Macaca mulatta: one gene and its partner. The protein of the gene in region 2 purifies or fractionates together with the protein of the main gene of each other region. This does not show direct contact. Links are inferred from orthologs where the notes say so. Each region holds a gene or a part of one and is shown on either strand. Other genes may lie near its edges.

Region 1 (4,574 bases), on a different chromosome or scaffold from region 2:
TCACAGTAATTCATGATAAACTGTCCTCAAGGCTACTTATTGCCATAAATACCCTACCTATACTTATTCCCTCAACAACCAGCTTCCCAGTTACATCTGTAATATACCAAATAAATCTTTTCTTTTTTCCCCTGCCCCCAAAACAGTTTTGTCACCCAGGCAGGCTAGAGCACAGTGATGAGAACACAGCTCACTGCTGCCTCGACCTCCCAGACTCAAGTGATCCTCTCTCCTCAGGCTCCCAAGTAGCTAGGACTACAGGCGCGCACCACCATGCCCGGCTAACTTTTTAAATTTTTTTTATAGAGACAGGGTCTCACTATGTTGCCCAATCTGGTCTCAAACAGCTGGGTTCAAGTGATTCCCCTCCACCTTGGCCTCCCAATGTGTTGGAATTACAGGCATGGACCACTGTGCTCAGCCTCAAAGAAATCTTTATTTGTGTTCACACTATTATCAGTTCCCTTCTCTTAATCTTCTCTCTAGCCAGCCAATCTTTACCTCTTTGCTTCTTCCAAATGACAAAGGTACTCATAAGCCACATTCTGACGTCTCCTTTCATCCATCTCCTCTGCAGTAAGTCTTTCATTATCCAGGACAGCTAAAACATAAAAGAAAGAATGTAAACACCAGGATCTGTAGGGTTCCTGAGTGATAAAAGATTGCCACAGTATCAATTTCCTGCTACTCACCTAGAAAGTCAGGGTAACTAATGAGTGTGTAGCTAGCCAGATGTACTACAATGACTTTCCTAAAACAAGAACTATGTGGTTTCAACTATACTCATCTTGACCTTTTTAAACATGGATGATAGTATAAATATGTACTAAGTTTTAGTGTAATCTTGAAAAATACTGTCTTGAGATTTTGGCCGAAATCTGTCCCTATCTGCCAGAACTCCTTCTAAATACAGATCTGATAATGTTGTTTCCCTCTTTTATTAATGACCAAAGCCAGCAGTTATTGAGAAATAAGTGACAGCAACTGTACTAAGCATTTTACATGCATTCTCTCATTGAAACCCCACAACAATCCTGTGATTATCAGTCCTATTTTACAGATGAAGAAATTGAGGCTGGGTGAGCCCAGGCCCATGGCAAATAAGTGGCAGGGCCTGAATCCAAACCCGGAGAGTCTGTCTCCAAAGCCTGAGCTTAACCTTGAAGCAATCTGCTTCCTTCATGGGCACCAGGTATGGAATAAATTCCTAACTCCTTGGGAAGGCATTCAAGGCCTTTCCCAGTCTGGTCCCAACTATTTTTGGAAACTCTCCTCTGCCTTTCCTCCCATCACTGTGCAGTCCACACCACTCAGTTCCCAACACAGTGTCCCGCTACTCTTCAATACCTTTGTTCATGTCCTTCCCTCAAATCCTGTCTCTTGTTCCACATGCCCTATCAAACTGTTTTTCTTTTGAGACAGGGTCTTGTTCTGTCACTCAGGCTGGAGTACAGTGGCACATTCATGGCTTATTGAAGCCTCAACTTTCTGGGCTCAAATGATCCTCCTACCTCAGCCCCAAGCAGCTGGGACCACAGGCGTGGGACACCACGCCTGGCTAATTTTTTTTTTTTTTTTTTTTTTTTTAGAGATGGAGTTTCACTATGCTGCCCAGGCTGGTCTCAAACTCCAGGCCTCAAACGATCCTCTCACCTTGGACTACCAAAGTGCTGGGATTACACGCAGGAGCCACTATGCCTGGCCACCTGTCAAACTTTCTACACAGCATTCTTCAAGGTTCTGTTCAAATGTCACCTTCAGGCCAGGTGCAGTGGCTCACACTTTGGGAGGCCGAGGCGGGGAGATCATTTGAGATCAGGAGTTTGAGACCAGTCTGCCCAACACGGTGAAACCCTGTCTCTACTAAAAATACAAAAATTAGCCAGTGTGGTGGCCGACGCCTGTAGTCCTAGCTACTCGGGAGACTGAGGCAGGAGAATCGCTTGCACCTGGGAGGTGGAGTTTGCAGTGAGCTGAAACTGCACCACTGCACTCCAGGCTGGGCGACAGAGAAAGACTCTGTCTCAAAAAAAAAAAAAAAAAGTCACCTTCCGTGCTCATACTGTCTTCCCCAAGCCCCTTCTCCTTACCTACATTACTCTGTATGGCTAGTAAGTTCAGCATCTTTCATCGTTATTGCACCTTATAATTATTAGCATGCACACCTGTCCGACTCTCTGATTAAAACGTTCTTTGGAGGCAGGGCCTGATCTTACTCATCTTTAATTTCATAAATGTGGCACAATACCTCACAAATAACTGTTGATGCGTGAAATGTTGATCCTTTAAAAAAGAACATTATTCCCAGAATATAAAATAAAATCGAAAACCTCATAATCTCAAAGGGTCCTCCTTTAGCCAATCCTGCCTGCAGTTCAATGACGTCCGGGGCCGACAACAGAAAATGAGGAAGTCTTAGGATTTTGTTTCTTTTTTTTTTTTTTTTTCTTTTTTTTTTACTATTTTACTTTTGAAATCTTGAGGAGGGAACTAAGCCCGAGAAAACTTAAGTGACTTGCCCAGGACGGCACCTCTTACCTAGCCTGGGGCCGGACAGGTCTGGACCCTGGTCTACCCCGCAGGCAATACTAGGGCAGCGCCTTTCCACGAAACGGGCAGAGCCCGCGTACCCAGACCCCAGTCCCCGGGACACGCCCTGCGCGGTCCTCCTGCCACCTCACCCTAGGCCGTCTTCCCCAATCTCGGTCGAGCTTGGGCGACGGGAGGGGCTGGGTGGGGCTCCCCCCTACCGCGGCCCCAGCTAGGGCGGGAGGCCTCGGAGGTCCTCTCCGCCGCCTCGGACCCCGAGGGAGCGAGCACCAGGGGCCTCCCCGCCCGCCGACCCACCCGGGCGGCTCTTCCGGGTCCGAGCTGCCGGCAGCCGCCCTGCCCCACCCGCCCGGCCGAGCCCCCAAGGAAATCGCGCCTCGTCTGCAGTTAGCTCGGCCCCGAAGCCCCGCGCCGCAGAGCCCCGCACTCACAGCCATAGTGCGGCCGGGCCACGCCTAGCCCGTCAACCTCGTCTGCGGCGGACATGGCGGCCGAGCCCGGGTCTCCGCTGAAGAAGCCGTGAAACCTCGGAGGCGCGGACAGCGGCAGCTGCAGCTCCTGCCAAGTGCGCGGGCTTGCCCGGGTCCCCGAGGCCCCGCCCATGCCGTCAACCCCACCCCGCAGGCCCAGGCCCAGCGGGACCGCCCGAGCGACACCGCCCTGCCGCACCGCCCAGAGCGGCCGGAAAGAGGCGGGGCTAGCGTCACCATACCCCGCCCCCAACTCCGCCCCCTCAGCCCGGCCCCGCTCTGCATCCCGCTACCGTCTCCGTAGGCGGAAGGAAGAAGGTAGAGCCCATCCTCCAATCGGGCTCACGCTGAGCTTGCCCTGCCGGGAATGCCCGCCCAGGTTCATAGCCCCGCCCCCAGGGCCACCGCCCTATCCGCAACTCTAACCGAAAAACTGCGGGTGTCTGCTGCCTGAAATCAAAGTAGTGGGTCATCTCCCTTCTCTTGCCGGCCCAGCTAACCTCTGCACCAATACTCGGAGAAGGTGGCCCAGGGTATCTTGTCGGACACAAGCAGGCTCCAAACTGCCATAAAAGCCCTCCAACCCCACTCTCCGCAGTTTGGCAACCTGGCCTCAGTCCTCTTAGATTCGGCAGCAGTCACCAGATTACCCAGGTATTTGAGATGCAGATGCTAAAGCGGAACTCTGTCCAAACTCCCTACCTTTAGATCCCTTGACATTGTTCTTTGCAAGTTCTTTTCTAAAGAACTCTTTTCCCTTACCAGGGATGCCTCTGCCCCCTGCACCTTGTGGCTTGCCCTTCAGATATTGGTATTCAACGGTATTATGAGCGCAGCCCTCTTCTGTTTTTTCTTTTTTCTTTTTCTTATTTATTTATTTGAGACGGAGTCTTGCTCTGTCGCTCAGGCTGGAGTGCAGTGGCGTGATCTCGGTTCACTGCAACCTCTGCCTCCCGGGTTCAAGCGACTCTCCTGCCTCAGCTTCCCAAGTAGCTGGGATTACAGGCGCCCGTCACCACGCCCAGCTACTTTTTTAATATTTTTAGTAGAGACGGGGTTTCACCATGTTGGTCAGGCTGGTCTTGAACTCCTGACCTCAGGCAGTCCAACCGCCTCGGCCTCCCAAAGTGCTGGGATTAGAGGTGTGAGCCACCGCGCCCGGCCCTCTTCCGTTTATTCTTTGCCCACTCAGTAACCTTTTCTACACTCGCCTATAACTGCTGAGGACCCCTCAATATGTATCACCAGACCAGATCATCTGGAAGTCCCTTGGTATTTTCAGCTAATGAACACTTTCACCTGTGTATAGCGCAGACACTTCAAATCCCACGTGTCAAATACTGACCCTGCTCCTGCTATATTCTCCATTCATAGAAGTACTCAATTCCCGCTGGGAATACCCCAGGCTCCTTTCCTCACGCCCTACATCCAATCTGTGTTTATTTCTGAGGTGTCTACTTTTGTCTCCATCTCCGTTGTGATTACGCTGTAGTCTCCCTTCTGCCAACCAGATCCTCACAGTTACCACGGTGTTCTCTCTAGAGTGCAAATGCA
Region 2 (4,347 bases):
TTTATGTTCACTTTGGCCCATGGTAAGTAATGAGTCCAGCATTATTTGGGAAGCTTTGGCCTTTGGGACCTTGATGCACCGATTGTACACAAGATGGTTGATAAGGACATGAAAACAAGGGGCCTATATGAGCCAGTCCTACACTGAGGTTCCGTTACTCAAACAAGTTTGCAGAAGCAGCCCAGGAGTCCTGGAAGGAAACTGAAATTACCTTCAGTGCAGCTGAGAAGATAAAGCCAGTGTACCGGTGGCTTTTTAAGAGGAGATGGAGAAGGTGTCAAGTGTAAAAAGCAAGACTCACCTCTAAGAAATGGGAAAGCTCATTGTTGATGAGCTCCTTCAGTTCGGATTTCTTCAGCTTGTGCTTGTCTCCCTCCCTTCCAGAATATTGGTGGAAAACGTCGATGAGGGCCACCATGGCTTTCTCCAGCTCAGACATCCTAGGGGCTCGCAAAGGAAAGATGCCTTCTCATCTATACCTCATCATAAAACATTTCACAGGTTATCAATACAGACCGCAACCCAGACAAGGGGGATGGACTGGCCCTGGCACTCTTTTCAAGCTCGGAACAGCAGGCATGACCTGGAGGGGCATTCTGGGAATTTGTACCTTTATCAATCCTTCCACCTGCCTCTTAGACAGATGTGAGCCTTCTCTGTCTCTGTGGGCCACAGGGATATATTCCCATGCCCTCTGGCTTCTGGTTGGGTTGGTCCAACAGGGAATCTTTAGCAAAAATACAGACGCAGAGCAGCAAAGGAATTCACGGGTTAAATTTCTGCTTCCTCCCCACAGGGTCCCTCTCTGTTCTTGTAAGGCTCCAAGATGAGGTGGTAGAGTGCAGGTGAGCAAACCATCGACTACAAGCTGTTAAAATCAATCTGAAAGTGAGACAGTGACTAGGAGCAAAATAAGACAAAAATCAAGAGCATTCCTATATTCTATCAATAAAGAAATAGAAAATCCAGTGCGAAATATCCTATTCATATAGAAATAGCATGTGATCTAAGACTAAGTTTAGGAAGAAAAATGCAGGTCCTTCCAAGAGATTCGGAGGAACATAAAATGTAGGAAGTTTTTCCTTTAAATTCATATGTAAATTTAAATCATTTTTAATAAAAATGATGGAATTTTTTTTGGATGTGTGACATGACAAAAATAGCTGTAAAATTCATCTGGAAAAATAAATATGGTAGAATTGCCACAATCTTTTTGAAGAATAACAGTGAAAGTTATTTGATCTACCAGGAAAAAAAATGTATCCTAAGTTTAACTGATTAAATGCGTGTGGTTCTGTGGCAGGGAGGGACAGAATCCGGCAGGAAGCTGAGCTGCTGAGCCTGCATTCTACCTCCAGTGCAGGGAAAGGCTGGTTCATCCACTGCAGTGACTGGGACGGGGCAGGAATAGGTGTTTCTCTGCAGCTGTCAAAGTAAGAGCCCTCCGACCTCCCTCACAGCAAGTACCTTACGCCACAGCCTGCAAACCAAGGAAATATCTCATCAGTCTGGGAATGAGGCGCCTTCTACAAAGGATGCCTTGTCAGTTGTCTCACAAAACAGATGGGCAGGCCGAGAAATTTACCAGCTTTTGGCCTTGAGTTCTAATCATCAAATAAGAACATTTGCACTGTTATAATTAAAAATAAATTAATAAATAGTGTTGAAAAATCATTCCCATGTTGAATATATGACTTACATCTTAAAAATAATTTGGAATTAGATGTTAAAAATTTTATTTATTTCTGATGCTCCAAAGGAAACAGGATTGAAGATTTTTTTGTGCTGGCCAGATCTTTGCTAAAGGCATTCTATTAATAATCAGTGTACTTTATTTTGCTCTTGAGTCCCTAAAAATTTGGTAATTCATAAATAGAACAGTTAAGATGGATTAAAATCTTTAACATTTCATGCTTTTCTTATTCTTTGCACTCAAGTTTTCAATTATTGATATATGTGTGTGTATTTTTTTTGAACAAAACAAAACAAGACACTTTTACATCATTCTGATGCTCCTCAAAGTCCATGATGATTTGGGGAAAAGGAGGTTAAATTGTTTTTCTATGAACTATGACTAACGAGATTATTACAAAGGAAAGGCATAAAACATGTATTCCATATATTAGAACACTAATAGAAACCACTAGAAAATATGGTTTTCTTCATAACCACGCTACAAATCAATTAAAAAATTCTTGTTAAATTTTTCCCTTTGACTTAATAAATAGTTGATGGTTTATAGTTTATCTTTTAAGAGAAATGGAAATAAATATCTGTTTCTTTCTCACATTCTGTGAATGTCCTACATTAATCTTTTAATATTGAGAACAAGAGAACATTTGAACTTTAACTCCTTAGAAAGACACGTTACCTAGCGTGTGAGGATCCCTCTAGGGGTTCGACCTCCCTAAGAAACTGTGAGACTGAAGAAAGTTAAAACCCACCAAAACCCCAATTTCTTTGACCCAATTTATTTGTAACTGTTACGTAATTTCTGAGTGGCGTCCTGGGGCTGTTGTCACCCTGGCACTTCAAACTGAGGGAAACTGGAAAACTGAAGAGTTACTTACCCAGGGCGGTGGAAAAAGTAACAAGGAGAAAAGGGGTTTATTTAGGATATGGACTAAACTAGCATTAGGTTCTCCATCATTTCCAGCTGCAGTGGGAAGCAAAATCTTTACTCTTCAAGTAGTTACAGGAGAGGTAGTATTTGTAGCACCACTGGGAAAATGTCAGCAATCACTTCTGGGCCGAGACCTGAGGTTTCTCTGATTTATGAAAAATACCTCTAGCTGCCTAGGGCTGATGCAGTCAGGTGTCCACAAAGAAGCAATAATGTAGAGATTAAAACACATCATCCTATTGACACTTCTGAAGTGCTGCCAATTGTCCTAAAGGGGTTTTTTAAGCTACCATTTAGTTTCTACCCCTCCATTCCCTTCCACCCAAACGAAAACAACCATTTCTTCCTGAGCGTCCTCTTGGCCTGGCTCTTTCTCACCTCTTCCTTGTCTCACCCCTTCCTGGTCTCCTTGCTGCAGGCCTCGTCTCTGCTGCGGGTCCTGGGCGGCAGGTCTAGTGGGCAGAGGCAGCCTCTTATTCCATCTGCCCAGGGAGGACGGATGAACCCTGGTGCAGCCCACTGCAGGCCATGGCAGCCAATGGGGGCCGAGGGCGGGGGTGGCAGGGCTGCCAGGCCTGCACACAGGGCTGCATTGACCAAGCAGCCCCGGGGACTTGCTGGGAGCCAGGATTGCACATGGGATGAGGAAGAAAAAAGGGCCTGTAGGGCAGGAAGTGGGGAGTCAGCTTTTTGTGTGATTTATTTATTACATGAATATTGATGTTCCCCTAAAGGCAAGGTTGGGGGTAGGGAGAGGAGAGAGACTTGGATTAATTGATTCAAACAAAGCAAATGTGCAGCCAAGAACCAGCAGCTTCCAAGCACAGGCTGAGCGTAGGAGATTAAGTGGCCTGCAAGCTGGTTTCTAATGGAGAGGCCCCTGGAGCTTCTCTCCTCTGCCAGCCTCCACGTCTGGCCCCACCGGGCGTGAGGTTCTGTGGACGGTAGTGCTTGTCTGTGGTCGGCCCTGGGCTCAATGGGGCTGCCTCAGAGAAGCTGCTGAACCCAGTGTCTGCAGGGACTAAAAAGGGTGGTACTTTTAGGGGAAAACATGATGTGTGGATTGTATCCCAAGGCCTTTCCCTCCATCCCAGGGTAGAAGGTCACAGACTGTCAGAGTTGGACAATGCCTTAGAGATGTCCTGTTCGAATGCTGTTTTACAGAGGCGTGTGGACGGTGTACCCCTTGCTGAAGGCTCCAGCCAGCCTGAAGAAGGAGAAGTCCCGCTGTCCCCTCAACTTGTCGACCTGAGCCTCTGAACACGGGGGCCAGTTTGTGGGTTCTTCCTCACAAGAGTGAGGAAGTAGGTGTTCCTTCTGACAAATTACACAAAAGCATTGGCCCAAACTCTACAAACGTGTCCATGGTCCCCAACCGATGCCTGACCCAGCATCAGGTCCTTCTCCCAACCCAGTTTCGAAGTGGCCGTGAAAGGGTTTCCCACGAGATATCTGCGTACACGGCTGTTTTGCTGTCATTGCTTTATCTAGGAAGTTCTCTACCATTCAGGATCTATAAGTATGCCCTGGAAATAGCACAGGGCCGAGAGCTGTGGTCTTGCGTGGGTCAGCCTGCCCCAGGCTCCTGTGAGGAACGGCCTGAGCCGGTTGGTTGGCCCTCACTTCCTCTTAAGCTTCACCACCCCTGGCTGTGGTCTCTGCTGAAGGATCCGCACAGGCTTGCTCTGTGAAGCACAGAGCTTGCCCAGGCCCAAGGAAGGCAC

What was found.
Region 1: the proteins of S100B (region 2) and IQGAP1 purify together in Homo sapiens (co-immunoprecipitation; 3 studies listed by BioGRID and IntAct, with this or other methods). This does not show direct contact. The link is inferred for Macaca mulatta from reciprocal best matches to the Homo sapiens genes S100B and IQGAP1.

Annotation. Positions count from the first base shown.
Region 1 is NC_133412.1:80,274,683-80,279,256, reverse strand, and holds the start of IQGAP1 (ras GTPase-activating-like protein IQGAP1), read right to left. Parts: upstream 3,102-4,574; 5' UTR 3,037-3,101; coding exon 2,982-3,036; intron 602-2,981; coding exon 502-601; intron 1-501. UniProt on the Homo sapiens protein: Plays a crucial role in regulating the dynamics and assembly of the actin cytoskeleton.
Region 2 is NC_133408.1:986,033-990,379, reverse strand, and holds the start of S100B (protein S100-B), read right to left. Parts: upstream 3,072-4,347; 5' UTR 3,002-3,071; intron 448-3,001; exon of another isoform or gene 441-447; 5' UTR 440-440; coding exon 302-439; intron 1-301. UniProt on the Homo sapiens protein: Small zinc- and- and calcium-binding protein that is highly expressed in astrocytes and constitutes one of the most abundant soluble proteins in brain.